Arabidopsis thaliana: one gene and its partners. The protein of the gene in region 3 interacts with the protein of the main gene of each other region in a pairwise test. Each region holds a gene or a part of one and is shown on either strand. Other genes may lie near its edges. The genes, in order: TCP1, NF-YB12, MYB112 and AT1G19040.

Region 1 (7,550 bases), 7.5 Mb from region 3:
TATATTAAAATTTAGATACTTAACTTATAGATTTCTCTAGAAACATTCAAGGAGGTATAACCTTGTAAAATGTTTTTAGTGAAACTTTAGCATGTGGGCTTAATTTTGGATTTGGAACAGAGAGATAACTGGATCATGAACCCATAATTAAACTAGACCCGTTATCAAGTTTAAATTTAACACTACCTTAAATCTGATTATGTCAGTCAACCCGAACTTCGAGCAAAGTAATTCAAGTTGGCCTTTTGATAATGATTTGGTGGAGATATATGCAATGTTATCTTAAAGTTTGTAAAGCTTCAATTGTCCCATCAAACATCTTGTGCTTTATGAAGTAATGCTCTTCCTCAATATTTTCATACTTACATGAAACATTAAATTGTTAGCTAGTTTGATAGCACTTTAATTAACTATCTTTGCGAACAAATTTTCAAGATCTACATGGACTTCGAAGTCTCCTCAGGCAAGCATGAACTTCAAAACGTGATTGTATACATTATGCTTTTGTCATTGTATAAAAACTAATAATATATGTTTTCATGTCAGATTCGAATAATCAAAACTAAAATATTCAGTATCCATACATATATTATACATGCACCTCTAGATTCTTACCGCTTTTACTCATATTCATGATCATGGACATTTAAAAAATCGAGACAGATCTAAAATCGGTGTGGATCATCCAAATAACTTGTCCACTCCTACTTCACATCGTGGAATTAGATCGCAAAATATTCGTTAAATGGGTCGTTCACAGTGATTACACATTTTACTACTCAAAGCTTTTCAGTAGCCCATCATTATATCCACACAGCCCATCTTCTATTGTTTCATTTCCCCCTTTTAAGCCATTTTTAAATTTGAAACTGATTATTATATTTGAATTACAGAAATAACTGTACATTTTTACGTAGAGGTAAAACTTTTCAAAGTTTATAAAATATGAACTCTAAATAATATCAAATAACGAATACGTTTACAAACAAAATTTATCAAAGGTTTGAGACTTTATAGTTTAGTACCATTTATATGTTCATTAAACAAAATTTTGGAACTACCTTATTATGGTGTTTGAACTGGATCATGATCTAAGTATAAGCTGAATTATACTAGGAGTAGGCCTAAATATATTTAAAATAAACAATTGCTTTTTGAGTTTTGGACTGTCAATATAAGGGTCAGCCCATTTGACATATGCCTAATTCCAGAATTGCTTATTTTCCTTGGTTAACAGAGAGCACTCTCTCTTTCTTAACGTTCCAGGTTACCTCAATAATCAAAATTTGTATTCAATATTTTTAAGCAATCTCTTGACCAAATACTGTAGTATTTGAGGCTCAGGATTATTATACCAAATATATCATTGCTACATGTTCGCTAACCATCTGTAAGAGATTCTACTTAGTTGACAACCGACATAAATGGACTTTCTCTTACTAGTTTGGATACTCGATGATGAAAATGAACGATGTTCTAGCATCCTAGCGAGATGTAGATTTTGGGGATATAAATTTGTTACCAATATTAGAAGACTTAAGATGATTGCTTTGAAAATGAAAATATAAAATATAAATATGTAAACTAAAGTGGTAGCCCATGATCTATAGATTTTGGGTGGAATGCATCCATGTCTCTAAAAAGCACATATTAAACGAAGAATTTAAGAGATTTTAGATACATCTATTTAATACATAAACAAACCCACATATTCTAACATGAAATTTGAAGAGACTTTAGAATCAAATAACTCAAAAATGACCATTTCCTGTTTAATAAAAAAAAAAAAAAAACCTCTCTCCATTGAAGACTCTCTTGTCTCCAGTCTCCACCACTGACCAAAACCAAAAGCTCATTCTCCAAAACTTCCATCTACAACAAGTGTTCGAAATTTATACCATTGTTGAGTGAAATAATTGGGCGACTTCACTATCTTCCTTCCTTTTCTTTATGTACTCTGTAAACCCTAATATCCTAAATACATGTTCCTCAATTCCTCAATTTGCTGTTCGCCACTTCGTATTTTTCAAATCTATCTTCGATTTACTTCTTATTAAAGAAAAAAAAGCTCAGCGACTTCTGCTGGAGTTTCATTTTTTAGAGACTTACGTTGATAGATGGCTTGTTTTAATTTACCAGTTTCCCTCACACATTTTCTAAGCTTCCCGGATTTGATAGTCGAACATATTCCCTTCCTTTTAGCTTCAATCCTAGTTCAGATATTTTCCTCAAAATCGTAAAATAACCACTAAAAATATTTCAAATTCAAGTACCTCATATTGATGGATAAAAAATATCCAAGAAAAACAAAGTACAGGTAGAAGGCAAAATAAAAAAATATGGGTAAGAAGGGCCCAAAAAAACATTTCTGAGAAAAAAAGTTCATAAAATTTATTTTCCTATACTCATAACATATAAAAAAATTTATAAAGGTTTCTATATAAAAAAATAACTGTACAATTTACATTGCTAGGGACTTATTTTAAAAATTAGCCCTAAGGCCTATAAAATGTTTAAACCGACACGAATTATAGGTGTTCAACTCGTATCACCGTGTACTTTTAGACTCTGCCCAATTCACCATGAACTATATCATAAACCTCATAATTCCACCTAAACTATTAAATTCATCACAATTAGACAACTTCAATTAATTGAGTCAATTGCGATTTAAAATCCTTAAACGGTTATGCGATTATACTAACATGAGTTTAATAGATTGACCGATTTAAAAGCCTATTTAAATACTAGGGTATAAATATCTGTAAAAAATAGCTCTCCTGGGGAAAATTTTTTTTTCCAATAAACTCAAAGTACCCAAAACAGAAATCACTCGTCCCTTAAACTTACTAGGGTAGAAACTAGTGTAGATTTGTATAAATTAACAATACTAACTAAAATCTAAACTATAAACTTTAAATTATAAACTCCAAACTCTAAAAACTAAACACTAAATCCAAGAACTAAAATCTAAAACCCCAAATTCTACTCAACCCTAAATTGTTAAGCTTGAAACCGTTATAATTATATAGTTTCCTTTATTTTGTCATGATTCAACTTATTTTTTTTTTCATTTCAAATATCTTTTAAAACCGTCGTATTTATATTGTTACACATTTCAAATTACTAAAATGATAAAATACTATTTTTATGTGATAACAAAAAAAAAAACTATATTTTCTATGGTTTTGTATATAAACAGTTGGGTGCATGAATGCATATATTGCATTTGCGCCCACTGTAAATTAGAACAACCCTTGACTACTAGCTAGAGACGTCAAAAGAAAATTGAAAACGACAAATCTTTTCACAATCTTCAATCGTACGGGAAACCAACTCAGGTCACATTAAAGCCTCTTTTCTCTTTTGACAAAAACCCTAAATAAAGGGATAATGTTTATGTTACGTTGTTATATGTACACTACACATTTATTCCATATCTATAGTTTCGTTAACCGGTCAAAACTAATTCACCCACCAAAAAAAATCTAAATTTCCATTTCCATGGCATGTAGGAAAAACTAGAAACCACTGGACAAAAGAATAGAAGTTTTTTTTTATATCCAAAACGAAAGCAAAGCAGATCTTGTCTGAGATCCGACAAAAAATAAAAACAGTGAAATACTATACATTCAAGAACATCGATCGCCTTCAATACTGACTCTTAAAAGCGTGATGTTTATCATTGAAATGGAAACAAATCCTTCATATGTCGTCTTCTATTGTTGAATTATTATTTTTGGACTATATGGGCCATGTTAATTAGATGTTGCTTTTGTGGAGCACTCATACGAAAGGTACGTTACCTACTTGTATATGTATACGTAGTAAAAGTAAAATGTTAAGAAGATACTAAAAATAGTTGAGTTTGAGGTTAATCCCCAATATATAAGTTCATAACCAGATATTAGATCTGGAATTGAAAACCCTAGAAAAAAGTTGTAAACCCTAGTGAAAAATTAACCTGTAACTGAGTGAGAGAGGAGAAGAACAGATCTGCTTTTTTGCGAGCAGATCTTCAATTACATACACAAAATCATGTCTTCATCACTGTACACTTAACCATTTTCTTGTTACACATCTCTTACACCATTAATATCTCTATAGTTTTTTTCTTTTCTTTCTTTTTTTGCTGGTGTGAGAAATTGTACGCTTACTATCTCTCTCTCTCTCTGCCAGATTCTCTCTTTTTGATGATGTGAAAGTTGTGCTTTTGTTTCTTAAGAAAAAGGCATATTTTTAATACTTGATTCTTGGTTCTTGATTCTTGATTCTTGGTTTTTTTTAGCTTCTTAAGTTCGGTGATGTCGTCTTCCACCAATGACTACAACGATGGTAATAACAATGGAGTGTACCCTCTCTCTCTTTACCTTTCTTCACTCTCTGGCCATCAAGACATCATTCATAATCCCTACAACCATCAGTTAAAAGCATCTCCGGGCCATATGGTATCAGCAGTTCCTGAATCTCTGATCGATTACATGGCGTTTAAGTCAAATAATGTTGTGAATCAACAAGGCTTTGAGTTTCCTGAGGTGTCAAAGGAAATCAAGAAGGTGGTGAAGAAGGACCGACATAGCAAGATTCAAACGGCACAAGGGATTAGAGACAGGAGGGTTAGGCTTTCTATTGGGATTGCTCGCCAATTCTTTGATCTTCAGGATATGTTGGGGTTTGATAAAGCTAGTAAAACGTTAGACTGGCTGCTCAAGAAGTCAAGAAAAGCCATCAAAGAGGTCGTACAAGCAAAAAACCTCAACAATGATGATGAAGATTTTGGAAACATTGGAGGCGATGTAGAACAAGAAGAGGAGAAGGAGGAGGATGACAATGGCGATAAGAGCTTCGTGTATGGTTTGAGCCCCGGGTACGGTGAAGAAGAAGTGGTATGTGAGGCCACGAAGGCAGGGATAAGAAAGAAGAAGAGTGAGTTGAGAAACATCTCATCAAAGGGGCTAGGAGCCAAAGCTAGAGGAAAAGCAAAGGAGCGAACAAAAGAGATGATGGCCTATGATAATCCAGAGACTGCCTCTGATATTACACAATCTGAAATCATGGACCCATTCAAGAGGTCTATAGTCTTCAATGAAGGAGAAGATATGACACACCTTTTCTACAAGGAACCAATCGAGGAGTTTGATAATCAAGAATCTATCTTAACCAATATGACTCTACCAACGAAGATGGGTCAAAGTTACAATCAAAATAATGGGATACTTATGTTGGTAGATCAGAGTTCTAGCAGCAACTATAATACATTTCTGCCTCAAAATTTGGATTATAGTTATGATCAAAACCCTTTTCATGACCAAACCTTATATGTAGTCACCGACAAAAATTTCCCCAAAGGTAAAGTTTGGATTCAAGACTCTTTTGTAAACTAAATTATTGTTCATATATATGTTTGCATTCTATGATATGTTTTCTTTCTCTTGATTGTTTCTGGCAGGTTTCCTATAAATCTCGACAGTTTTGAAGGACTATGCATGATCAAGTTTAAACATGTAAGCCAATATAGTCCCTTATTCCTCTGAATGTATACAAAATCTATAGTTATGTATATCTGTTCCTTTTTAACGTATCTTTATTGATCTTCTGTGCCTTGATCAAAATTGTCATTTTAAGATTCAGTTTGTGTAATATTTTAGCTACAACTTTTAAGTGGTATTATTGTAACCTTTTGAACTATATATTTTGAAGATGAATAAGAACATGTTTATATATTTGGTCATCCCATTACAATCCAAGATTCATACTTCGATTAGGCACTACACATAAGAGCTAGTCTTTAAGATTAAGCCATTTTTGTTTAAGTTAGAGCTCCATATATTAGAATTTGTTCTTCAAACCCTAAATTCAATTAAGACCCACAAAACCAAATATGTATGATGATGAATATTGAGGGTCGTAGTGAAACTGAAGTAGTTACATTGCAAATTGAAGGTGACACTGAGAATTAGTGTGTGGAATGTGGAGGCGTGCCTGCCGTGGTGTCTATTTGATTCATAGTTTGTGATTTGGCCATCCAGGTATGAGGAGAATATATCCTACTTTCATATTATTGTCTATATAGAAGATATATACACATTTATATATTGGTGTATTTATTCTCTTACTCGGAGGATGTTTTGCAATGATGCTTTTTGAAGCAAATATGAGTTGTTTGTTTATGGGGTTTGAAGTTTGGCGTTTTGGAAACAATGATTGTTAACTTAACATATTCGAGTAAGATTTGTTTAAGGCTTTTAGGTTAAACTCTGACTAGAGATGTGAAAAAAAAAAATCCAAAAGAAAACTCAATGTTTTGAAATGATAACATTCACTTAGTAGTAAATAAGTACATGGATCAATTCAGTCACTACCAATTTGTTTGAATTATTATAAATCCTCAAAACTGAATATGCTATCATAGTTCAAACTCCAAACACACGTTGACATGAACCTAAATCAATATTGTTGTTCCTAGCTGACCCCAAATAGATCCATATATACAAGAGATTAGCCAATCAATTCTGCTTATGAAACTTGATATTCACCAATTTGAGATTCTAGAATTTAGTCGTTTTAATTTAATTTACAATTTAGTCGGAAATCCTATCAAAACGTAAAACTTTTTAAGAAACTGAATGTTAGGAGTTAATGAAAACGTGTAAAAGAATGATACAAGATTTGACTGATTCTATTTGTTAATAATTTTTAAATTTACAGTATATGCCTAAATTTATTTGGTTTAACTAACTAATTTTAGGATAATTAGTCAAATTAGATGATCATATATGGTTAAAGCTAGTCTAATTTAATTAGACTAAGTACGTAATAAGGTTGTTCTTAAACCGAAAAAAAAAAAAAAGTAAGAAGGTTGAACATTCACGTTGGAGCAGTCAAGATAAAGATGAACAATAAGAATTTCTTTTTAACCTTGGAAGGAATCTAATCTCAATATATAGGGACTTAAGATTCCACTAAGTTTGAACCACACACATCGAAGATTGTAAGATTCTGTTTTGAAGAATGAGAAGTTGGCATTACAAGTATAGTCGGTACAAGTTTTAGAAAGCTTATCCAAATGTAGTTTCTTTTTGAAGCTGTTTGTGCATGTGACAATTTTTTCGCTGTACATTCCTAATCTCATAAAATGAGAAAATAATCAAAGAAATAATATATTATGAAAATAAAAATTTGTTTTAACATGTTTGAAAAATATAACAAAACTATTTTAAATCATACTTTAGTTGAAAATAATTGATTGTTAAATTACGAAAAATTTTATAAACATGATTGAAAAACTCATAAAATGATAGTTTTTATCAACAAACTGGTGGGATATGGTGTGAATCAGAAAGTGTCACTCGCTTGTCAAAAATGTGTATCATGAATGTATACGAAGCACATATATATGTAAGGCAACACTTCATCATGTGAAATAAAAGCTCTCAAAATACCACCATTCGGAAATTAATCATGTAGACACACTTACAAATGTATTTTGAATAAGCTCACTGCAACATATTAAGCTTACTTTTTTTTTTTTCGCCCAACATATTAAGCTT
Region 2 (8,353 bases), on a different chromosome or scaffold from region 3:
TTAAATCAAAAATAAAATAAAACTACGCTACAGATTTTGTCGATACAACCCCCACCCAGAAAATGGTACAGAATATAACTTACAAAAAAGACCCAATCATTACATCATCAGAAGCTTCCTTATAAATTTCAATTTCCGGAAGTTTTTCTTTCTTCCTTCCTTCAATTTTGTTTTCCTCTAATCTCTTTACTTTTGTATTTACTCCGCATTAAGCTAAATAGCTTCTTTTGACAATTGATTTGTATAGTACCCCAAAAAAGAATAAGGCAGTTATAAATAACCAGAAACTGACCTTGTGTTTAGTCCAGAGCCGTTTTGTTTCTTCGACCAGTTAAAGGCTTTGGTAATCCATCAAAGATGGAACTTGTAATGGCCGCAGGTGTAAGCAAATCCGGTTTCAAGCTCCACTTTGACGTTGGCCATAGCGACAACGAACCATTATTGCTGTTACCATCTGGATCTTGTAGACTCGATGCACTCGACGATTTTCTTACACTGCTAAAGCTGTCTGAAACTGGAGCATCCATCAAGTTCATTGATACCGGATTGAAATTACCGTTCTCAGATTCTGCTGCTAGATTGGTTCTGCTTGACGCTTTCGATCTCAAAGCTAAGCCTTTTCCAGCTATTGATAAAAATCCGCCATTGCTGCTACCGTTCTCTTCTTTCAACACAAGTTCTGGAGTCCGGGATGAAAAATCGGCCTCAGATTTTTGGCGTCTTCTCATAAACTTATCAGATGTTGGTTCTTGAGTATTATTATCAGGTGATTGGTTAACCTCTTCGATAAGCGCATTGACCAAGCTTCTAGATTTCCTGTGGTGATTTAAGGGAGTATTTGTGGATGGGAAAGGTCTGAGATATCCGTTATCACCGTTGTTGAAGATATGATGAGAAGTTTCCGTCTTGTAATTTCCCATCTCGAAGCATCCTCCATCAGAGACTGTTCTGTCTGCTGGTTTTAGCCCGTAATAACCTTGCAGTGAGTACATGGCTGGAGAAACTTTCTTTTCCGAAGATTTCAATCTCAGAGACTGAAATGAGTCAAACACTTCCTGTTCGCTATGGTTTGGTGATTCCGGTTCGTGGCATGAACATCCCTCTCTGCAAATAAGATTCCATGTATTAGAGCCATGAAAAGAGGATTACTCCATAATGATAATATGCAGTTTCAGTCCAACACAACTAAAGGCACTAGTTGTTTGTCTCGAAATTGAGATGTTTCCTATAGAATTTCTAGTTCTGCAGGTGATATAAAGAAAATAGGATCCTAGTTCTACCTTCGCTGAGACTTTTACAGCAAAGTACCAAAACCATTTTACCAATCAAGAAAAGCTGGTATAGGGCTCTTTGAATAAATTAAGAAATAAGAAACAAAATGCTCTGCTGATGGTGTAAACTGCTCTGCTGATGGTGGAACACAAAATGCAACAAAATGCAAACTAATGCAACAAAGCATCAACAACTGCTCTGCTGATGGTGGAACACAAAATGCAACAAAATGCAAACTAATGCAACAAAGCATCAACAACTGCTCTGCTGATGGTGGAACACAAAATGCAACAAAGCATCAACAACAATCAGCTATAAGAATCCATCACTGGAACTTAAATGATAGCAAATAATAAATCATTTAAAAGTAATAAGCTTTATTAGTACCCATGGTTTAAGGAGCCATTAGATAAACATGGAGAAGGAGGATGTCTCCCAGGTAACGGAATCTGAAGAGACTTGAGAGCAAACATTTGAAGATCAGTAACAAGGTTATTCATCTTTTTCACATCTGCAACCTGAAGTAGAAAGTTTCACAACACAAAGAAAAAAATAAGAACAACGATTAGGAATAATCCAGCATCAAAAGCGAAGCTTATACAATTTAGAAATAATCCAGCTCTCTCTGACAAATAACTTTTTCCTCATGTGTTGTTCTTCATCATGCGTCAATTCCCACACAAACAAAAAAAAATCCTAATGCTTTTTACCAGTACCATTAATTCTACCTTTTGCCTCTAATAAAAATACCGTTGTATGTCAATATTACTCAACAACCTTAACCAAAGTCAAATATTCTGGAGCTGGAAATAGCCATCACTACACAAACCAAACCTAAATCGTTAGCAGAATTATACCTCAACACCGTATTTGATGGCAACGCCGGCGAGAGTATCAAACTTGGAGATGCGGTGTTCGATATATCCACGGTCAGGCGAATTGGAACCATGAAATGGCGGAGAAGAGCTAGAAGGTGGAGGAGACGAGGTCGGAGACGGGATCCGAAGGATCTTCGATCTAGGAGGACTCTTCTCACGGCAATTTTCCAATCGATCTAAGAATCCAAAACCATTATCATCTCGGAATTTGCCATTGCTATATTCAGGAGTCCCATTACGACCAGAACTCCGTCTCTCTCGATCCATAAACATAATCTCTCTGGGTAAATCCTAACTATTCTACACTAGATCTGATCAAAATTTCATCATCAAGTAGAGGAAACAAGAAATCGAAACGGCGAAGGACGAAGAGAGATTCAAAAAAAAAAAAAACGGAGAAGAAAGTGAATTACAAGGAAATGATGAAGAGGCGTTGTTTGAGAGAGATTAACGAAAAAGAGAGAGGTGAACAAAAAAAAAACTCGTGGACTAGAGAGTCGAATTTTTTCTCAGAGGATCGATGGAAACTTTTGCTTAATTTTATTTCCTCAGATTTTCCGGGAAAAACGAAACGAGAGATCTCTGTGCTCCTCTCTCGTCGCAGCGGTGGAATTGGAGTTATACCATAATTTTTATTTAATGACGCTTAAAAAGAGAAACAAAGCAAAACTAATTCGTATTGTAATTAATTATTGCATTATTAAGACTAAGCTTTGCAAATTAAATCGAGCTGAAACAGCAAAAATTTATTTAATTAATTGATGACAGAAATGGGTGAAATCAGATCTTTATAAAAGTTTTAAGTAATTTTTTTTCTAGAAGAATAATTATAATATTAAAAAAATAAAAGTGCTCGATACATTTTTACAAATGAAGTCGAAAATATTGTGAGATTCTGATTACGTAGAAATAATTATCTACTTATAAAAATTATTAGATTACTTATTACTGGATAAAATAAAAAACTTTGAAAGGCAGAAAACGAAGTGTGTGTGTTTGACAAAGAAGAAGTCCGCAAAATGTCGGCGAGAGAGTTAAATCCATTCTTCTTTGCCTAACCAAAATTACTCTTAACTAATAAATTAAACAGTTGATTAGACATCCAAGAGTGGTCCAACTCCTCTCCTCTAGCCCTTGGTTTAATTCCATGGTTTGGGAAAAGAAACCGGGTAAGTTTCTCCGGTTTAGATGCTTCAATGTTGAAGCCGTACAAAGGAATCCAGATTTGGTGATCAGACTAGAAATGGATTCAAGACTTCAGAATTATGAAGTTACACATAATTTAAGGGGATTTGGATTCGAATGACACTAGTTGCTAAGATTCAATAAAAACCTTACTAATTACATCTGAATCACCTAAGTGATTTTAGATTCAAAGAAAGGGGAAAAAACACAACCCTAAGTTAAAAAATGTAAAGAGCATATCAACACCAAGACGCGACGAATTTTGCACTTTACAGAGATATTGCTAGAAAGAAAAAGAAGTCAAAAGGATAATGTTAAAATAAGGGATTCCTTTGCGGTTTTGTTGATTAGCTTTGTAGACTTGTTTGTTGTTGTTGTTGGGGTTCTTCTAGTTGCTCTGGTTGAGGAACTGTAACACCTCCATTCATTCTTGCTCGAGCTTCTGCAAACATCCTCTGTTGTTCCGCTGCCGCCTCTTCTTCCGTCATCTCTGCTCCGCTATTCATCTTCACACTTCTCTGCGAATCCTGCTGCAGAATTGGCAATAACACAAATGATACTGATTATAATTTCATTCAAGTCTGGATCTTATTGTGAGCTAGGAGATGATGGTTACCATGGTTTCATATTTATGTTGCTCATACGCGGCATAAACTTCTTCTACGTATTCCCCAAAGCCAAGAACCTGTGTTTAACAAAATCAAGATTACAAAACATGTATATATTTCACATAGATGTATCAGACTGAGCTGAATGTAACACCAAACCTGTAAAGCTTTGAGTACGTGCTCAGGGGCTATTGTTCGTTTATCCTCTTTGTTACACACTTCATTCGACTCCGACGATATAAGATTTATGAACTCTACAATAAACAAATTTGAACATCATAAGTAATGAAATAAGCAAATTTGAAACAATGTTCGCATTCATAAATCTCAAGACTAATAATCATTACCTACACAACACTCAATCAATAGATCTTGAGCATCTCTAGCAACACGAACATCTGCGGGTAACATCTCCTTTATAATTTTCGTCATGGTAGCTGAAAGAACAAACATATTTTTTATCAGACAAAAATACAGAGTCATTGCATTGAGTAACCTGAAGCCATAGCTAGAGCTAGATTTACAAAATCTTTCAATTTAACCAAGAAATTGACAGAACCAAAAATTAAGTAGTAGATCGATCCAAAGAAGGAAACGAGACCGAACCTTTCGGAAGCGAAGCATCTTCCTTTGATTTTCCAACTATATCCATCGGATCCATAGTTTTAAATCTACATGATCAGAATTCAAAAGGAAAATCAGATTACCGGAAGATCTAGACCGCGAAGTTATAAGATGAAGAACAAAGGAGAAAACAGAGATAGACTTTACCGAGTTTAACACGGATCGAAACAGAGGCAGATCAACGACGGAGATCCGGTGAGTTAACAGACTCTCGAGACAGATTCACGGCGAGATCGGAGACGTGCAGTCGTACGGAATCTTATCGGCGGATTTTCTCTCTCCTTTTTCGGTTTCTCTACGCAGAAGTCGATTAGGGCAAAAAAACATAAGACCAGAAGTAAGTGCGTGACTTTCACTTTTGCCTTAAAGTGATTGACGGCGCGTAAGATCTAATTTCGTTATTTTTTAAGACAAATGAAATGGGCTTTTTACCGAACATTACATATGTAGGCTTGCTTGCAGCAGACACGACCCATTTCAGCCCAAGTTTTTTTTTTTTTTTTTGGTTTTGAACAAATCATCCGCTTTTTAGTCCACTGGTTAATCAGAGAAATTAGGGGATGTATTGAATTTTGAAGTATTTTGTAAGAGTTTGATTTATTTCCAACTCCATGTCATTCTTCTTTTTAGTATGTTATTCATGTTACATGTTATTCAAATATGATTTTTAAAATGTCTTCCTAAATCTTATGATATTCAAATTCAATAACTATGTTACTACAATTTTTTCTTGGACAAATATGTTATGAGACTTTTAGATACATTTTAGTTATAAATATGAATCAAATACATTTTAGTTCTAGAAGAAAAAACCAGATCTATAAAGTTTGTTATTAAAAGATAGAGAGAGAGGAGGGATGTAGTAGGCCAATAGGCAAATCAGAGAATCACAAATGGTATCTGGTCAAGAAGATTCCTGGTTAAAACTTTCATCTCTCTGTTTCCTTTTTCTTTCTTTGTTGGATTCATTAATTTGACATATCTCTATCATCACACTGATTCTCTTTCTCCCAGTTTGTCTGCAGATGCATGTGTGTAATCTAGGGTATATGTTTTTGTCCATTTGGTTTCATAAGGCAATAAAGATCCAGCTATTTACTACTTGTGGTATAGATTTTGACTGTTGAATTTTCAGATCTGATGTGTTTCGTTTGATCCGATTCGGAAAATTTATGTTTCGTTGACATTTTGGAGTTTAGTTGGAAGAAGAGTGAGAGTCGCTGGAGGCAGCGGTTCATCGATCTCTTCCTGTGAACACATTAAAAATGTAAAAGCATGAATAGATCGATAAACCTCTGCATCCAGCGTTTGCCTCTTGTATCTTTCTTATTGACTTGAATCTTTTTGTTTATTGGTTTTTGAAAGAAGAAAAAAGTGAGGGAAAACAGAGTCAAGTCCGATTACTTTTCTGGGAAAGCTGAGGATTTTGTGTTCTTAGAGAGCAGATGAAGAGGTGACTGTTGTTTCTGGTGAGAATTCGACCTCTTTAGTTTGTTTGTTTTTTCAGTTAATGAAGTGCTTGTTATTGAAGTGTGTAGTTGACTGATAAGCGCCTTAGCTTTATCTTAATGTTTATCAAGTAGATTTGGCGTTGGATAATTAAAAAGAAGTTCAGATTCTTGTAGGTTGCTTACTTCGTCTGACCAAACAATGTTCCTGAAAAAGTGTTGTGTTTTGTTTCATGTATCAAAAAGTCTAGCTTCAAAATTTTCTTGCTTTTTTCCAACATGCAAGATTTCTCTTTATAAATCGGTACATTTGTAGGTACAAATCGGTACAAATTTGCCATTGTATAAATCGGTACAAATTTTCCTGTGTTCTTGTAACAATGCCCTTTATACATTTGTAGGTGAGATAGAAGTTGGCATCTAAATTTGCTTTCTCTGGACCAGTGAAATCAATTGCAGTCTCCTATATATTGTAGTAGGCGATGTATCAGTGGTGAAGCGAGGATGACATCTGTGGGTACTTGTTCTTAATCCTTCACTCTGATATCTATGCTTTAGAAGCGTTTCAAGTTCATGAAGCTGATTTGATGTTGAGTTTTTAACAACAAGAATCAATTCACTCCAAAAATATGTAAACTCTGCCATGCCTTGAGCTGCTTTTTGGATTATCCACTGTTTTGTTTTGTGATTAAGTTCATTATTTTCTACTATATATGATGAAACCGAAAATTGTTAATTGCTAACGCAAACACTGATCTCCATCCCCATGATATTCCTACGTACTTATTGACCCGACAATGACATTCAAGCTCCAAACATCAATCTTCACTTATGGCTTTTTGTTAGTTGTTTGTACATTTCCTCAAGCAAGTTAGAAACACGTTTTGGTAATAGAATCATACTGTTTTTTGGTAATATATATAGATAATGGATGTCATGGATAAAGCAAAATCACTTGGTGAAGTTTTTAAAAAAGTCTTTTCATCTGAGCATCCGATAAAAAACCTCATACTAATCGTTGGAATTTATTTGCGAGAATGTGGTTAAATAACATTCACCAGCTACAGTAACTAACATTATCTTAAGGAAAATTTGATTTTTTTTTTTTTTTTTGGTCGGATTTGATTTTTTTGATTTTCAAGCTAAACAACATACAATATCTCAAAGTCAAAAGTCAATGAATGTAGCAAATCTTAGTCTGTATGAAGGCCCAAATAATTGGGCCATTATATGCAACCAGTTTACCTCATTAACAAGCCCATATGAAATTAGGGTTCCTATATTTTACTGGTCAATAATACACTTCTCTATAAAAACCCTAACACTTCTGGTCATATAACAACCGCCTAAACCCTAGTTTTTTCCGCCACACTCTTCCGCCATTATTTTTGTTACTTGGAGCTAGCTAGCTAAAAAATATGGGAAGCGATACCGAAGCAGAGAAGTCGATTCAAAAGGAGAAGAAGAAGTACGCTATTACTCTTGCTCCTATCGCTAAACCTCTCGCCGGCAAAAAACTCCAGAAGAGAACTTTCAAACTCATTCAAAAAGGTACCAATCTCAGTTCCAAGCTCGCTTCACATCTCTCTATCTTCTTTATTTCTCATTATATATTGATTAGTAGCTCATGTTGGTGTATTGCTCTGTAATTTTTGTCAGCTGCTGGGAAGAAATGTTTGAAGAGAGGAGTTAAAGAAGTGGTTAAGAGCATAAGACGAGGCCAGAAAGGGTTAGTTTTTTCATTCTTTGTCTTTTTATTGAGTGTGATTTATGATTGTTTTGTGTTGCAGATGGCTTAGCTGATGTATATGTGTTGATGTTTTGTGTTATTAATTGATTAGTTGATGTTATTGTCCTGCAAATTGCTTAGTTAGTTTTGAAATCCGTGTACAAATAAGCCGATGCTCTGGATTAAAGTAATGAATGTAGCATGGTACTGTACACGGAAACTGAACTATGGATCGACATGTCTGCCATCTCTGATTTTTTCCCTGATTAGACGGCCTGGTTTAGATCCACATTCTCTGTTTGTGTTGTGATTATGTTTGTGAAAACGGTAACATGTTCTTCTATGATCATTCATGATGTTATCTACTAGTGTAAGCTCTTTATTTAGCTGATTTTGAAAGCCGTCTACAATTAAGCCGATGCTCTGGATTAAAATAGAATGAAGGAAGCATGGTACTGTGCACGGAAACTAAACTATAGATCGACATGTCTGCCATCTCTGATTTTTCGTGATGAGACGGCCTGGTTTAGATCTACATTCTCTGCTTTTTGTTACTTATTATGTTTGTTTTCATTGATGTTATGATAGTTGTTTGCATAGTTGATGTTA
Region 3 (8,732 bases):
AATGTTTTAAGATTCCTTCTGTTTCATGTTAAGTGATAATTATAAATTTCTATGCAATTTTTTTTTACTCATTATATTTTGCATTCTGTTTTTTTATTGGTTGAATTTATTTTACTTAGCTATGTTTTACATAAAGAAAAATACTAGACAAAAAATTGATATGTTTTCTTAATTTGTATGTAAAAATCTTAAATTTCACTTAAAAAAATGACACAGAAAAGATATACAACAGATGTAGCAAACCAAATTAGTTAGTAGTCGATATAAATGAATTTAGTTTGAGGATCGACAAAGTCCACCACTTCAGTCAATTACCAAAACAGAAACCGGATAAATGATAAATCGATGTTAGTAACCAATAATCGAAGAAACGAGAGCCACTATAAAAAAAGATACTCCTATTTTCTAGAGGATGCTAAAGAAATAAAAAAGAAAAGACACGTGACAGATGGAGCGTACATGTGTCGAACTGGGACCACTTTCGGGTTGCTTCTCATGCGCCACCTTCTCTCGGATTCCCATTACAGCCGCCATTGCCACTTCTCTCTTTCCCGGCCTTCTAAAAGCAACAAGCGCACGTGTTAAATGTTCACACGTGTCCTTATCTTTTCTCGTAGATATCTAAATTATTATCTAAAATTAACAATCTGTTCTCAACAATCAACATACAACAATCAACGTCAATATATAATATAGTTATCAAAGCCAAAATCAATGATTCTATAATCCAACAAAGCAAAGATATTCGTGTGTGAAAGGCCAGTATTCCATTTACAAAATTGTAATGCCAATTCATTCCTTTTTTCACTCCAATTCAATTACTATTGTTCTGCTTTTTTCTTATAAAGAGAATATTGAAAAGATAAGTTTAGAATAAAAATCGACCATGCATTGTTTGATATTTTTGGATTGTTTCCATTTAGTCTATAGACGTGTTCGATGATTAATTTAATATATTCTAACAAATAAAACAATTAATACTTTGATTATAAAATAGGGTTCGGGTGAATCTGTGATCCTCCTTACTCGACGTAGTGGAAAAAAACACTGAGAAATAATTTATTTAAAAGTTTAACTAGAGTAACTTATTTGGGTTCGTCCCCTCTGGACGTATATAATCTCGATAAAGTGTTACATGAGTTGGAGTAACTAATAGTATCTTAATCATGATTAGGAATTGGAGACATCATTCACGTCCTTTTCTTTTAGTTAAACTATTAATGATTATACAAACTAAATTAATATGTGATTTTAAATGAAACTAACGATATTATTGGTTAGCCAAACAAGAAAATATAGGCCCTACAAACTAGAAATTTCCAAAACAATAATAGCACCACAAACTACATAACCGATTTAGAGAATTCAACATGTATGTAACTAAAGTTTTTTTTTTATTTTTAAAAAATGATATTTGAGACGACGAAATTTTACTTGCATATTTTTAAGAGTTGATACCATCTTTAAGTGCTCTAAGCAATATGTCTCATTGTCTCGAGCATGCAAGATTTCATGAACACTTCAACTCTGAGTTTAGATGAGAGGGCCAAATCCAAATTAATAATTTATTTAGAGTAAAATAATTATTTGATGTTCACTTCATATACACATCATGCATCAATCTCTATTTCAACCCATTAGTTAAATAAGTATGTAATGAATTTCTTTGGGATATGTTATCAAATACTCATAATGTTTTTAATAATGCGGTGATATTATAAAACTTAATTGATGATCATATATGGTAGATTATAAGTGATCGTATGGGAGTTATTAAATGAACCAGGAACCACATAAACTTTTTGCTAAACTCATGTTGTTGTTTTTCTCTTCTTTGCTCTTATAGTCTTATCTAAATCATGCTTCTGTGTAACAATATATATGTTTTTGATATTATTAATTAAGCAGTTTTTTTTTTGTTTTGTAAAATCATACATCACAATAAAATTAAACCAATAAAAAAATGGAAAAAAACCCGGAAAACCTTTAATTTTGTTTTGAATGATTAGTTTATGTTTATTATACATTACATTCATTAATAAACCCATGAAATGCCTACTGTATGAGCCACTTGTTGAGCTCGTCAAAACTACACAAAGTTTCAAACGTATCTCCGCCGTTGAACCAATAACCACCATTTGTCATATGATCCAACGTTCCAAATTCCACCTGATCACCACCGTAGAAACTCGATCTCACAGCCTCAGACGACGACGTTGATGACGTGGCGGTGGCGACGCTGGAGTTCTCAGGCGAGTAGTGGTTAGAGGTAAATTGGACACTTTGAGTGGCGGCGATTCTCTCGATGAGACGAGGCATCCAGAGATGTTTGATGGTGTCTTTGAATTGCTTGCTGTTCACGTCACATTTTAGAAGTTTTGCATGCTTTTGAACACGTGTTCTCCAATAATTCTTTATCTCGTTATCTGTTCTTCCCGGTAAATGTTGAGCAATCTTTGACCACCTTCACAATAGAAAAAATATCAAAACTAACTCCATTATTAAAAACACGATTAATTTTATAGAACATCGTAATTAAACTCTCATTCCGTTTTTTATTAGAATCATTTATACATACAAAAAATATATTAAATTTCTAATATACTTTTTGTACGTATATTAATTGTTTTTGTTAAAACCGACTCTTGCTAAAAATATTATTTATAATGAATCGGAGGGTTTAATTATTTATAAGTTCTATTGTAGTACTAGATTAATCAGTTTTTTTAGTGTTACTCTGATAAAAAAAGACGTTGATGTGTACCTTAATTTCAACTATGATACAAGTTTCATATAGTAACCACAATTCAACCAAGAAATTTCAAATACGCATCAAATTGATTTTGTCAATTATCTACTAATACAATATTGAATAACGAGTTATTTATTTCATAGAGACGTTCCAAATTTGCTCTCTTCAACGATATGTGTCCCTTTTTCTATTTTAAGTAATGTATCGACAATATGACTATGTCTATGTCGATATAAATAAAGGTTTCATACCGATTTCCCCAACGAGAATGGAGTTCAAGGATGATAAATTGTTCTTGAAGGGATATGTCTCCACGGCGGATATCCGGCCGGAGATAATTTAGCCACCGCAATCTGCAACTTTTCCCCGTTCTATTCAGTCCTGTCTCAATAGTAAATGATTTCAATATAAATACAATTAGTATAAAAACATGAATTAACTGGAATGTACACTAGTCAATAGTATATGGACACTAGTACAATTTCCCAAATCAATAAAGATAACAATTCCATGAGGCTGTATGGAATTGGATGGTTGGGAAAGGTGTTTGAGTTCCACACTCAAAAGGCTAATATGAAAAGAACTCCAAAGGAAAAAATAAATAAATTTGGACCGACCAAACTGTTTCATACGAAAGTACACTTTTAATGATAATAATGAACTATGAATATGTCAACTTGTTCTTTCTTACTTTACCAATTCTACAGAGGAATTTAAATTATGCCGACATGGAGAAGTCACAGCCATAAGAAAAGTATTCTCATAGTTACGAAAAATCACATTCATATATGTATATCACTCACATATGATGTGATAGAAATTGAATAACATATTGATAAGATGTGGACGAGTTTTTATATCTACTCCATTTAATTTCAGTTAGTTATAAATAAACTCTAAACTAAACTTCACATGATCATATTAAAATCCACAAAATCCAAAACGAATTTCTAATAAGAAAAAAAAAAGTTTCAGTCTAAATGTTTAAAAAACAAAAACGGACTACTTGTTTGACATATAAAGAATCCTTCAATACCAAACTTTAACCATTCAAATCAATGATAGTTTAACAATCACTCTAGAGATATGATATGGGCATATAAGGATTTGTTATGATGACTTCAATTGATCTGAATCGATCGATTTACGCATTACATATTATATATCATGCATGATCACATATTCTGTATATATATATGCAAAAGGCTTAAGAAGTTACCAGCAGAACGAGAGAGGGAGTTCCATCTTCCTTCACCGTGAAGAGAAATGTAACTGACGAGCTTCATGTCTTCTTCCACAGTCCATGGACCTCTCCTTATTTCTATTTCCATCTTTTTCTCGACTTCTTCGACTTCTTCTTTATGATTTATAAGGGTTTTACAGTTTGCGAATTCTGTTCTACTTATATTCATGCTTTGAGATTCTTAGAAACTTGTGAGAAGATTGCTCTGAGAAAGATTTTAATTAATGAGGGAGAGAGTTCTCGGAATGGACATAAAGTGATCGAGTTTTCAGGGTGGGTTTTATAGATTTTTTTTTGTTTTGTTTTGTATATATTATAAATAAATACCAAGCATTTGAAATCGGCATGTTAATAGATAAATTATTACCCGAAGATATTAGTGGAATTTTCGCAAAATAATAATTTCTAAGTAATAGTATAAGAGTTCTTAGTTTCTCCTTAAGCACATGCTATAGTTAAGAGTTGGATAAGCTATCAAGTAAGTAAAAGTAACCGAAGAAGTAATTTAAATTAACATCATTTATTTATCGATATAATTTAGTTGATGCAACAAACCCTTTTTTCTGTAGTATATAATTTTGTTTAGTTTTGATTCAGGTTTCCTTTTATTAAACCAAACTAGAATTTAACCCTCAATATAACACGGGACAATTTTGTTTTCACATAATCTTAACTAAATTAGTGTAATTCTACATATTTAATATTAGTGATGTTAATCAAATAATAAAATGAGAATTTCACCGTATTATAATGTCGGTTAATGATACTTTTAATTTTTTTAATGTCGATTTAAACTCATTTTTCATATACCCAGTCTCAAAATATAACATGTACTGCGTTATTTTAGACTTTTATATATATTCATTTTATTTTAAACTTTATACTGAGTTTAAATATATCAATTATAATATTTCAAAACTTTCAAAGCTTAAAATTTACTATATCCAGTAAAATTAAACAGTTCAATTAAAAACAGAATTAAACCATATACAAACTTTTAAATTTAGATACTTGTTAAGTTAAACTTCTTGTTTATTTAGATTTAGATTTATTTATAACATGACTCTTAATCATTTTCTAAACATTTTAGCCCATGTGAAATTGAGACGTTGAACACACTTTTTTATTATTTAAGTAATATATATGTCTAATTCTAAAATTTTGAATCAGAATATAGGTAGAAAATAGTTTATTATTAACTTTATATGATGATTCAAAACAAATAGAAAACAAAATCAAACAAAGATGATTGCGAATCATTATTTTAATTCTTAACACAATCTTTTAATATGTATTACTAATTTTGGAACATTATATGTATATTTCAAATTTTATAGTTAATGTTAAAAACAATCAATTGATTTGGTTATACGGATAATAAAAATTAATAGTAAAGTTATTTGAATACATGAATATAAGTAATGACATTCTCTGTTAATATTTATCAAAATAAAGGTGTTTTTTAAAGTATACTTCAAAAATAATACTCCCCCTATTCTTTATTAATTGATTTTTAGAGAAACAAAATTGTTTCAAAAAGATTGATTTTTTAGGTTTCTATGCACTATTTATTAGTTATTATTGATGAATTTTAAACTTCAAGACAAATAATTGAATATCATTAGTTTAGAATTATTAAAAAATTAAATCACAAAAATTAAATCAATATGTTTACTTAATCTGTGATTGTTTCTAGAAAATCAATAAAAAGGGACAAAAGGAGTAATTTTTAGTCATGATTTCAATTTGATGCAATTTTGGTTTAATTTATTTTGACTTACGGTTTAGATTCGGTTTGGTTTTGATAAAAAAAGTTAGAACATATATAAATACAGATTGATGAAAGAAACTAGTTAAATTTTTTGAAGTTACTAACTTTTTTGGGTTTTCTTTAGTTTCGGAACTCTTGGTTACTTTTTTTTAATGGTTTTAGCTATAAATTTTAGTTTTTTTAATTAGAAATAGAAAAGGATTACAAAACAAAAAAAAGACTCAAGAGAATGTAACAATATAAAAATGCTTTGATAGCATGAAAGCAAGATGCAGCGAACCTCAAAACTCTAAATCGAGTAAAGCTTAACCTAACCCATGTCTCTAACCATAAACTCATTAAAGCCGAATCAGAGTTCTACAAAATGTAAAATCTCGATGAAACTAGTTTTAGATCAAACCATTTTTGCCAAACTTTACACTAGGTCAAAAGTTTTCCAAAAAAAAAAAACAAAAAAAGTTTTAACACCATTATACGTAGTTAAAAAAAAAAGAGAAAACAAAATTGCATTACCTATGATTGATATGTTATTAGTGGAGTATTTGCCATGGTTTTATCGTTTTTGATAGTTTTCTTTGCCATACCTTTTGCCATGTTATACAGTTTTGACAAAATAATGAAAAGGAAATTTGTTTTTTTTTTCTTTAATCCATAAAACAATATATCGATTTATAATATTTTATTATGTTTAGGTAATATTTTAGAAATAACCAAAACTATGGCCGACAGATTTTCATATTAGAAATCTTCTTTTAAAATTGTGGACTAGATATAACACTTGACAAATCGTCTTTACATGTGTCTTCATCGGTTATCGCTGCTGAGACTCTTAACATTTAAGGTGACATTGTCCTTTGTTGCCAAAGCTTTGAGGGCGGCATCAAAATTGGTAAGTGCAATAATAGAAAGTTCTGAATATTCGGTATAATTTTTTATGAATGAGGATCAGTCGTGCTTTTAACGAGTGATTTGAATTGCATGCTTATGTTTAAGAAATTTCGTGACGCATAGTTGATCAAAAACTTTGTTACACCAAGAAGATTAAGTTTTTTAGTTTTAGGAGTCGACTTAAAGAACATAAAACAGAATGAAGAATTATTACTAACCTTACTTTCTGAAATTTTATAGTAAAAGCATTACTAACAGAACCAATAAATAATTGTTTTTACATAACAACCAAATTTATTTTATGATTTTAATATGAAGATTATGTTTCTTGTTACATGAGAATTGTTGTGAGATTTATATGGACCACATTTAACCATATCTACACTTGAAAGTAAATATCAACATATTGATTTTTGGTCAAACTTGTTTAATTATGTACTATAGTAAGGTAATTTCTTTTTTGACAATAAGGTGATTATTTTTCCATGGTCGTTAAATCAATAACAACATAATTATGTTGCCAAAAAAAAAGAAACATCAACTGCATTACAATGTCAAAGCATTTTATTTTGTTTCTATTTAATCTAGAGCAATAATGTCGGATCATTTAATATATATCTTTTAATTAGCACTTTATATATATATATTTAAATAGATATCCAGTTTTGTAATGTAATAAATAAATTTTTAACACCCAAATCTAGGAGTGTCAAAATGGGTCAAAATTCATGGGTCAACTCAACTCAACTCAACCCATGAACCTTAATGAGTTGAAAATTTTTGACTCAAATGAGTTGATGGGTCAAATGAGTTATCGGGTCAATTGGTTTGATGAGTAAATGAGTTGGATTGTAATGGTTAATGGTTTCAATGATTTACCTAATTAACCCATCAAAATTTGTAAAATTGAATTAAACCAACTAAAATCTCTAAACCAATGCTAATTTAAGTTTAACCAACACATCTAAACCAATCTAATAAAATTAATATTTTTCCAAATTTCTTAAATATACAAGCGATGAATTGAGAAAAAGTAAACTCGTAATTTTTCCACCAACAAACATAAACCCGTGATTTTCCCGCCAAAAACGTAAATCCGTGATTTTTCTGAAAAAAACGTAAACCCGTGATTTTCACGCCAAAAACGAAACCCCATGATTTTCCCACCAAAAACAAAAACCCGTGATTTTCCCGCCAAAAACGTAAGCCCGTGATTTTCCCGCCAAAAACGAAAAACATGTAATTTTCCCGCCAAAAACGAATACCCGTGATTTTCCCGCCAAAAACGTAAACCCGTGATTTTCCTGCCAAAAACGAAAAACATGTAATTTTCCCGCCAAAAACGAAAACCCGTGATTTTGCCGCCAAAAACGAAAACCCGTGATTTTCCCGCCAAAAACGAAAATCCGTGATTTTCCCGCCAAAAACGTAAACCCGTTATTTTCCCGCCAAAAACGAAAACCCGTGATTTTCCCGCCAAAAACGAAAACCCGTGATTTTCCCGCCAAAAACGTAAACCCGTGATTTTTCCACCAAAAACGTAAACTTGTAATTTTTTCGCCAAAAACGTAAACCCGTGATTTTCCCGCCAACAATGTAATCCGTAATTTTCCCGCCAAAAACGTAAATCCGTAAACGGTAGAATCTGTAAATATTTTAAGTTTGATAATAATGAATTAATAATTATTAATAATGATAATTATTTATTATTGTTTTATAATAATAATTAATTAAATTATTATTTAATTGGGTTAACCCATTTAACAATTTCACCCATTAAATTAAATGAGTTATGGGTTGATCCAACCCATTTAACAAAATGAGTTGGGTCAACCCATAACTCATTTAACCCTAAACTCATTTGATTATGAGTTGAGTTGAGTTGGGTTACCCATTTTGACACTCCTACCCAAACCCAAAGTTTTTTAAATTTGCAGGTGTTGGAATGATGTGGCGATGAAGAAGCATGGTAGGTGGAGTTTGTATATGGGTGACGATGGTGGAAGTGATGAGAACATCAAACTCAAATAAGAATCGATCGCTCTCGATAAGACTGTTGCTACAATCGAAAGATAGAA
Region 4 (7,994 bases), about 11 Mb from region 3:
ACGATCATCAAATGTTTAGACATGTGGATCAACATTGTAATAATTTTCTCTTCAAATGACTGACTCTTTTTTTTTTTTTCAAAATAATGTTTTTCGTAAGTGTTAGGTGTGAAGACCATCATGTTTTTGCTAGATTCTTGTAGATCTCAACATTGATATTTGTAGATATCTATCAAATCGTTACAAAAAGTTTGCTAGATTCTAAATTAATGCTAAGAAACCAGTTTTCTTTACAAAATGTTTTTGTCAATGTCCTCTCACAATCGGCTAAAAGATGTTACAAACTATAAAGGATCCTCCTCCACAACTTTTGAAGATTTTACTCTCTCCAGATTTTGTCCAAAAAGGACTCACAAAATCACACAATGATGGTCAACTAAAAAAAATCACTAAACAACTTAAATGAAATGATGACAAAACTATTCCCTTTTGTTGCAAAATAAAAAAAAAAACCTTTTAAATCTGCAAAGAGATCCTTATATGATATGGCTGTTGTCCTGGTATTATTTCTCCAATTTAATTTAGGAATTTCATGTTTGACACTTATTTAGGGATCGTATAATATACGTTTTTTAATTGATTTGAAACCAAATAACATGTACTATTGCCTTAGTCCTCTTGCAATTCGTTTAGAAGATGTTATGATTGAGACAAAAGGATCCACCCGCAATACTTTGTCCATATTTTTCTCTCAAGATTTTGTCCAAAAGCAAAAGAGACTCACAAATCACACACAATGGTCCACTAAACAGAGTGCCTTTATTGCATACAAAATTCAATCAATTTAATAAAGGAAACTCAACTGAAAACGATGACAATAAAAAATAAAAAATGTCCCTTTTGTCTTTAAATAAAATAATAACCCTTACTGACGTAAAGAAAATTAAATTAAGATAACCTTGTAAAATACTTCTTACCCAAATTAAAAAAGAAAAAAAAAAAGACAACAAGAGGATTAAATTGTATTAGTATCACCATCATACCATTACACATAAATAAAATTTAGTAGAGTATAAACGAATCACGTGTATAGGAAAATACAAAATACAATGTTGAAGTTAAAATGAATATAGAAGTAGATTAATTGAGCAATAACCACCGGTTTTAGATCATTGATTGATATGTAAGTAAAATGCAAAGTAGTAGCCGACTTGGCAAAGAAAAAGAAAAAAGAAGAGAGAGAGAGGTAAAACTAAAATAAAATTACTAAAAGCAGAAGGAAAGTTCCAGGTCACGAGGGAGTAGTCGCTGTCGGATTGAAAGAAACAGACCAAACAAAGATCTTTGAAATCTTAAAAAAGATTCGGTGCCCAAAGATTTTGACCTTTGAAGACACATTTGATTATTTGTGTTTTCTGACACTTCCCAAACACATAACATCAACACTTGACCCATTTTTAAGATTTTGTTTCCTCTTCAAAGATCTTACCCCGCAAGATCCGATCTTCCAAATCTCTCTCTATCTACTATACTAGTACTTATTAAACCCCACCACCTCTCCCTTCTTATTTATGTCACCTAACCTAACTTCTTCTTCTTTCATTTTATCACATTCATTTCCTTTGTCTTCAATCCAAAGCTTTCCTCTTCTTGGAACCAATCTGCTCTCTTTTTTATTCTGAGTTTGACAATGGCGGTTGGTGAGGTCATGAGGATGGAGATTCCCGCCGGTGGAGATTTGACTGTTACTACTCCGGAGTTGCATGTTCTTGCCGTCGATGATAGTATTGTGGATCGTAAAGTCATCGAGAGGTTGCTTAGAATCTCTTCTTGTAAAGGTAAAAACTCAAAACCAATCTTTTTCTGCTCTGTTTTTGTTGGTTTTAACTCTCCTCTGTTTTTCTTCTTCATTAACAAACTCTCCTCTGTTTTTTAGTTACAAGTGTCTTTTTTTTTTTGTTATTTCAGTGACGACTGTAGAGAGTGGAACTAGGGCTTTGCAGTATCTTGGCTTAGATGGAGGCAAAGGGGCTTCTAATCTTAAGGTAATTAAGAATAAATCTTCCCTCTTTTGCTATCTACTGAGAAGAACTCTTGTATATTTAGGAAAGACCGAAGGAGTGAAACCTTTGCAACTTTGGCTTTGGCTATTGCTTCTTCTTGTCTTTATGATCAAATGAGATTTAGAAATGAACTAGTCTAGTTAGTGATTTATGTGTTTTGGTATTAAGATTTGATTTTGTTTGTGATTTTCATCATAACAGGATTTGAAGGTGAATTTGATAGTGACGGATTACTCAATGCCAGGACTTTCAGGATATGATCTCCTTAAAAAGATTAAGGTAATAACAATAATAATGGATTTACCAATCTGAGAAAGACTTAAACAAAGCTTTTTTAATGCTGCTTATACAAAACTCCATTGATATGTGCAGGAATCTTCAGCATTCAGAGAAGTACCAGTAGTGATTATGTCATCTGAGAACATCTTACCTCGTATACAAGAGTAAGTACTGATTGTGTAATGTGTAGTGATACAGATGGGATCATATTTGTGTCTACACTGTGATCTAAACTTATCGACTTCTTCTTCTTGTTTTTAGATGTCTCAAAGAAGGAGCAGAGGAATTCTTGTTGAAACCGGTGAAGCTAGCAGATGTAAAGCGAATCAAACAACTTATAATGAGGAATGAAGCTGAGGAATGCAAAATCTTAAGCCATTCTAACAAGAGAAAGCTTCAAGAAGACAGTGATACATCATCATCAAGTCATGATGATACTTCTATCAAGGACTCTTCATGTTCAAAACGAATGAAATCAGAATCTGAAAACCTTTTTTCTCTACTTTGAATTATATGTATAGAGGCCAAGACCTTAGCAAAACCATTCTGTTAATATTCCTCAAGAAAGACAATGTTTGAGAGAGTCATCACACTACTCATGATGTTGCTTAAACAAAACAAAACAAAAAAGAGAAAAGAATCAAATGTTAGGTTCACACTGACTTACACCTCATGTAAATTCTTCAATGCTTGCAACTCAAGCTTAGGATGCTCTTCTCCCGGAAGTATTGGTCTATCATCAATCACGCAGGAATCGTTTTTCAGGTAAGTGAGTCTGCAAACCGCCCAAACAGGATCCGAAGACAATTGGAATTCTTCTACTTTCCACCCGGTCATTGAGTGGACACGCCCCACATCGAGATTGAAAGAATATCTTGTTTTAGTTCCCAGAACATTTTTCTCTATGTCATTATCTATGATTTGTGTAACAACACCATTGACCCTCCATGTTTTCTTCTTGCCCCTGAGGTAGAACATCAAATTCAGCTTTTCACGACGAGACGAACACTTTCTCACAAAGTAGTACCATTCACTGTCCTTGTAAAAAGGAGATCTAACATGTTCAAGAAGCCATGGCTCCATGGCATATAGCTCTCTCTCTCTCTTATGAAGCAGCTGAAGTCTGGTGAATGGGCCTTTGGAGTGAGGTACAAAGAGAGTAGCTCTTGATCAGTCGGATGAAATCGGAATCCGTAAGTAAAGACACTTGGTGGGACGTTCTGACCAGAACTCAGAGCATCATGTATCTGCTTCAACACATCCCATTTCAAGCGTGGATGTTCAAACCCGTTCAATCTAGGCTTATCTAAGTACTCATTCCCGAGGGGGTTTTTCTTAACAAAGTAATACCATTCATAGTGATTGTAACACGGATCTCTCACATGCCCAAGTACCCACGGATCCTTGTCGTACAAGTCTATGGTTTTGATAAAGCAGCTGAACTCCGGCGATTGTGTCTTCCGCATAAGGTAGTCTGTCACTTCTTCATCAGCTGGGCGAAATCGAAACCCGCGTGTTAACACCTCTGACATTTTTGCTTCTGATCCAAGAAACGAGAAACCAAATTCATCAAACTCGATCTCTAAAAACAAACAGTGATCTATTATTCTAAAAGAAAACCCAGTAAAAGAATTGGAATCATGGTAATGAATATGATTTCTTCTAGCAGTAGAAACGGTGTGAAAGTGTAACAGAGACGAATATATGCTGAAGAAGAAGAAACTTGATTATGAGAGAACGAGAACTTACATGAATCAATGATCGAAGATTTCTTCTAGCAGATTAACAGAGAGACCCAACGACGTGAAAACTTAACAGATATGAATGTTCGAAGAAGTTTCTGCAAGAACCCCAATAACGAATTGGAATCTTGGTGATGAATGCTTGAAGCAGAAACTTGGATAACAAAGAACGAGAACTTACCTGAATCAATGATCGACGATTTCTTCTAGTAGAGAACAGAGACCCAACAGATATAGAAATTCTGAAAGAAACGCGACAAAGAGTTGGATAACAGAGAGATCGACAATTTCTTCCACGAGAGAACAGACTTCAAACAAACCGTGATAATCTAACAGAGATGAACGCTCGAAGATGATAAGAAAATTGCAATCTTGGTGACGAATTTTGAATGCAGGAAGAAGAAACTCGAATATTTGATAATTAATATCAATGTTCAGTGGTTTCTTCAAGCGTTCCTCTAAAGCGATCTTGGACTCACTCTGTGTTTCTGTTTCTTGCTGCCAACGGATACGCAACAATAACAATTACAATGTGTTTAAAGATAAATCCCCCTTCGCCGACTTCACTAATACTATCATTTGTATTTTATTCAAAATTATAATTTTTTAAACATCTTCACAATTGTTAAATTAAAAGGACTGTATATCATATTTAAGACTTTTATTTCCGAAATTATATATATTTCTAGGATATGTATTTTCTCATCATCGGACTCCTAGGTATTTCAAAGACTATGTAATACATATTTGGATTTATTTTGAAAACACACATTGAAGGAAGACTTTTTAAAAAAAAAATGCATCTTTTTAATACTATTTTTCAAAAATGTCTCCTCCATAGAAACCTTTTATTGTTTTTTTACTGAAGATGATTTTTTAATAAAAATATATAATTTAAAAGATTTTCCTTTTCCCCGATTAGCTTCGCCGGAATGTCTCCGCGTTCCGGCAAATTTTGTAATCCCAGCTATCGAAGTGGCTATTCCTTTATTGGGCTGTAATTCACTAAAAAAAAAAATCAATAAAAACAAAAGAGCACCACTGTTTTTTGGTAAGAAATCTATTAGTATTTTTTCACATTTTACATTTTAAAATATTTAGTAGCATGTTCTATTACTGATTATTTTTCCTAGGACCTTTAACTCAAAGCCTCTTTTTGGGAAATCCCACAAAGATGGGCAAGTTCATAAATTCTCCTGAAAATCAAATTAAGAAAATGTTATGACATGTTTTCTGGTTTAATCATTTATAGATAAAAATAAGAGAATATGCACAAAATAACTATGAATTGTAAAAAAATTAACAAAGTAGCTATGGTATCAGAGGACACTCTCTTTCATCACTTGTAATTATTTTTATACCCATTATCGAATTTTATATGTATTACACGCTATTTTACAAAATCACACAAAACACTTAGATGATTCCATGGCGAAAAACTTTTGATGAATCCGAACAAACCACCACTCATCTCTCTTTCTTCCACCACCACAACCACCACATCTTCCACCATCACAACCATCAGTCTCTTTTTCGATAAATCTAGGCTGCTAAACGTTATTTATATTGACGGATCATCTCTCCTTCAATTTGCAGAAGATTTCTCATTTTATTTTGTTCGATTTTGATTCTTTCTTGGAATCTCCGTCGTTATGTTTTCTTTTTACATTGTATGTTATTTTCTTTTTTACCATGCTACTTTCTCGAATTACACGTTATAATTGAAAATCTCTCTCAAATAACATGCTATTTTTTCATATAACAAATTATTTATTCTCATAGCACATTATAAAATGTCACTTTTTTGATAAATATCGTGCTATTTATTTTGTTCGATTTTGATTTTTTCTTGGAATCTTCATCGTTATGTTTTCTTTTTAAATTGTATATTATTTTCTTTTGTATCATGTTACTTTTTCGAATTACACGTGATAACTGGAAATCTTTCTCTGTCAACATGCTAGTTTTTCATATAACACATTATTTATTCTCATAACATATTATAAAATGTCACCTTTTTTATAAATATCATGTTATTCTCATACTCTTGCTTTTGGTTCAACTTGCAAGGATATTTTTGTATTTTCTTATGCCGTCATAAGGTTATTTACTCACATACAAATTAACAATGGTTAGTTACTACATTCTTTTCAATTCTACTTTCTAATATTACCCTAAAAATAATTAGATTTTTTCTCTCCTTTTTCTGTCATTTATAACATCATATCTAGATATATCTCGTCTAATAATATTTTGATGATAACCTGCAATATAGATTATGACGAACAACTTTTATAGATAACGATTCTACCATTCAGCTCTTCTCGCAACACTCGGATACACGACAAACGATTATGCATATATGATATATGATGGACATACTCTTTCTGCTTCATTTGAGACCACAACGGTGACCTAATTATAGTACTCGATATAGATTACGATAAGTTATGCATCAATAATCTGCAAAATCGAACCTGAGACTTGGTGTAAAATTTTTTTTTGACAAAAGATTAATTTTTATATCATTTTTGACTTTTGACAAAAAGCTGATTAAAGCAGTCTCCAAATAATAAATACAACATTACAATTTGCTTCTAGGCATTCAAGGATAAGTTACGAGGTGAAATACCAATTCTGAGCCTGCAAAACTCAGAAATTTGCGTGGTTGTCACATGACCGAATAACCGGAATTCTCATCGTAGTTGCCACGAGCATATCTATTTGAAGCTGTCCTCAAAACCTCGTGATAAAAGTCTATAGCTTCTCCGAGAATTAACGCAAAAATACTTAAGCAATCATGAACTTTTTCACTAATTCAATGAGATAGCGATGCCACTTAGACCTATTTGCTGCCATAAATTCAACACTCTATTAACCTTATCAATGCACCCATATTCTCGCATACATAAAAAGAACCGACACCAACAACACCAAAAACAACAAAAATCTACCTAAAAGCAACCAAAAACGAGGCGAAGGGACGAAGAAAAATGGTCACGGGAAAACCATAACCATGGCTGAGGAAGCTGCCACCCTCTACAGCCCACCAATGGAGGAGAGATGTTGACCACCAATAACAAACCACAACACTTCTAACCGCAAAGAACAAACCAGAGAGCCAAAAAGATCTCGTGATTTGCCTCCACAAGAGAAGCTCGCCGGAATCCAACCACACTATCACCGGAGCGAGAGAAAACTAAGGTGGAGAGACCCGATAAATAGTGGTAACGTAATATTTATACATCAACAAAGAATACTAAATCAACTAGATATAGTATCATAATTGGTAAACTACTTGCTTTATTGATCGAATAGTAGTAGTACCGTATTAACCCGGTGCAAATTATATAACAAAAGTATATAGCCAATGAAATCTCACATAATATTCCAATTAGTAATATTGTAGAACTGCAAAATAGTAAGAAAAATAAAATAATAAGTGAGTAAAGGGAGTTACAAAATATTAGTTTTTTTTTTTTGAATTTAATATTAAATTATATTAAAAAAAAAAAAATTGTTCTACAACTTATACATACTTGTTTTAAAAGACATCATTCAAAACAAAAACAAAAAAATCTTCTCTCCTTGTCTTGATTCAAACCAATCTTGCAAACCTCCTGCAAGTTTCATATCTCCGCTACTCCGAATTGTGCTCAAACGATTCCGAATGATTTTATCGATCACTCTTATCAGTCTCTCGCATGGGGATGGTTCTTCATTGTGTCGTCGGTTGTTCCGTTCTCTTCAAAGAGAGTGGATTGCATTTTGAAATATGTACCCTACAATGAAACACTTCGTCTTGCTTAGCCTATTGTCATGTATCAGTTTGAGAGTTTCCGTCCAGTTTGCGGTGAAGCTAGCGTGGAGGATTCCCTTTGCGAGCTTCGTCCAGACCTGAAATGAGTAAGGGCACATAAAGAACAAATGATCCCATGTCTCCAAAGTGTGTTGACAGAGAATGCAGTTT

Evidence for each region.
Region 1: the proteins of MYB112 (region 3) and TCP1 interact in a two-hybrid assay, tested with the Arabidopsis thaliana proteins (one large-scale study listed by BioGRID).
Region 2: the proteins of MYB112 (region 3) and NF-YB12 interact in a two-hybrid assay, tested with the Arabidopsis thaliana proteins (one large-scale study listed by BioGRID).
Region 4: the proteins of MYB112 (region 3) and AT1G19040 interact in a two-hybrid assay, tested with the Arabidopsis thaliana proteins (one large-scale study listed by BioGRID).

What each region holds. Positions count from the first base shown.
Region 1 is NC_003070.9:25,166,062-25,173,611, reverse strand, and holds TCP1 (TCP family transcription factor), read left to right. Parts: upstream 1-4,304; coding exon 4,305-5,384; downstream 5,385-7,550.
Region 2 is NC_003076.8:2,632,455-2,640,807, reverse strand, and holds NF-YB12 (nuclear factor Y, subunit B12), read right to left. Parts: upstream 4,977-8,353; 5' UTR 4,715-4,976; intron 4,615-4,714; 5' UTR 4,605-4,614; coding exon 4,550-4,604; intron 4,381-4,549; coding exon 4,291-4,380; intron 4,198-4,290; coding exon 4,103-4,197; intron 4,021-4,102; coding exon 3,952-4,020; intron 3,866-3,951; coding exon 3,683-3,865; 3' UTR 3,375-3,682; downstream 1-3,374. Other genes in the region: AT5G08200 (peptidoglycan-binding LysM domain-containing protein), read right to left, coding at 300-1,104, 1,660-1,790, 2,130-2,423; AT5G08180 (Ribosomal protein L7Ae/L30e/S12e/Gadd45 family protein), read left to right, coding at 7,434-7,566, 7,675-7,744.
Region 3 is NC_003070.9:17,702,214-17,710,945, forward strand, and holds MYB112 (myb domain protein 112), read right to left. Parts: upstream 4,248-8,732; 5' UTR 4,165-4,247; coding exon 3,972-4,164; intron 3,134-3,971; coding exon 3,004-3,133; intron 2,465-3,003; coding exon 2,056-2,464; 3' UTR 1,919-2,055; downstream 1-1,918.
Region 4 is NC_003070.9:6,572,715-6,580,708, reverse strand, and holds AT1G19040 (NAC (No Apical Meristem) domain transcriptional regulator superfamily protein), read right to left. Parts: upstream 4,633-7,994; 5' UTR 3,815-4,632; coding exon 3,296-3,814; downstream 1-3,295. Other genes in the region: ARR7 (response regulator 7), read left to right, coding at 1,631-1,778, 1,909-1,985, 2,205-2,282, 2,376-2,446, 2,544-2,790.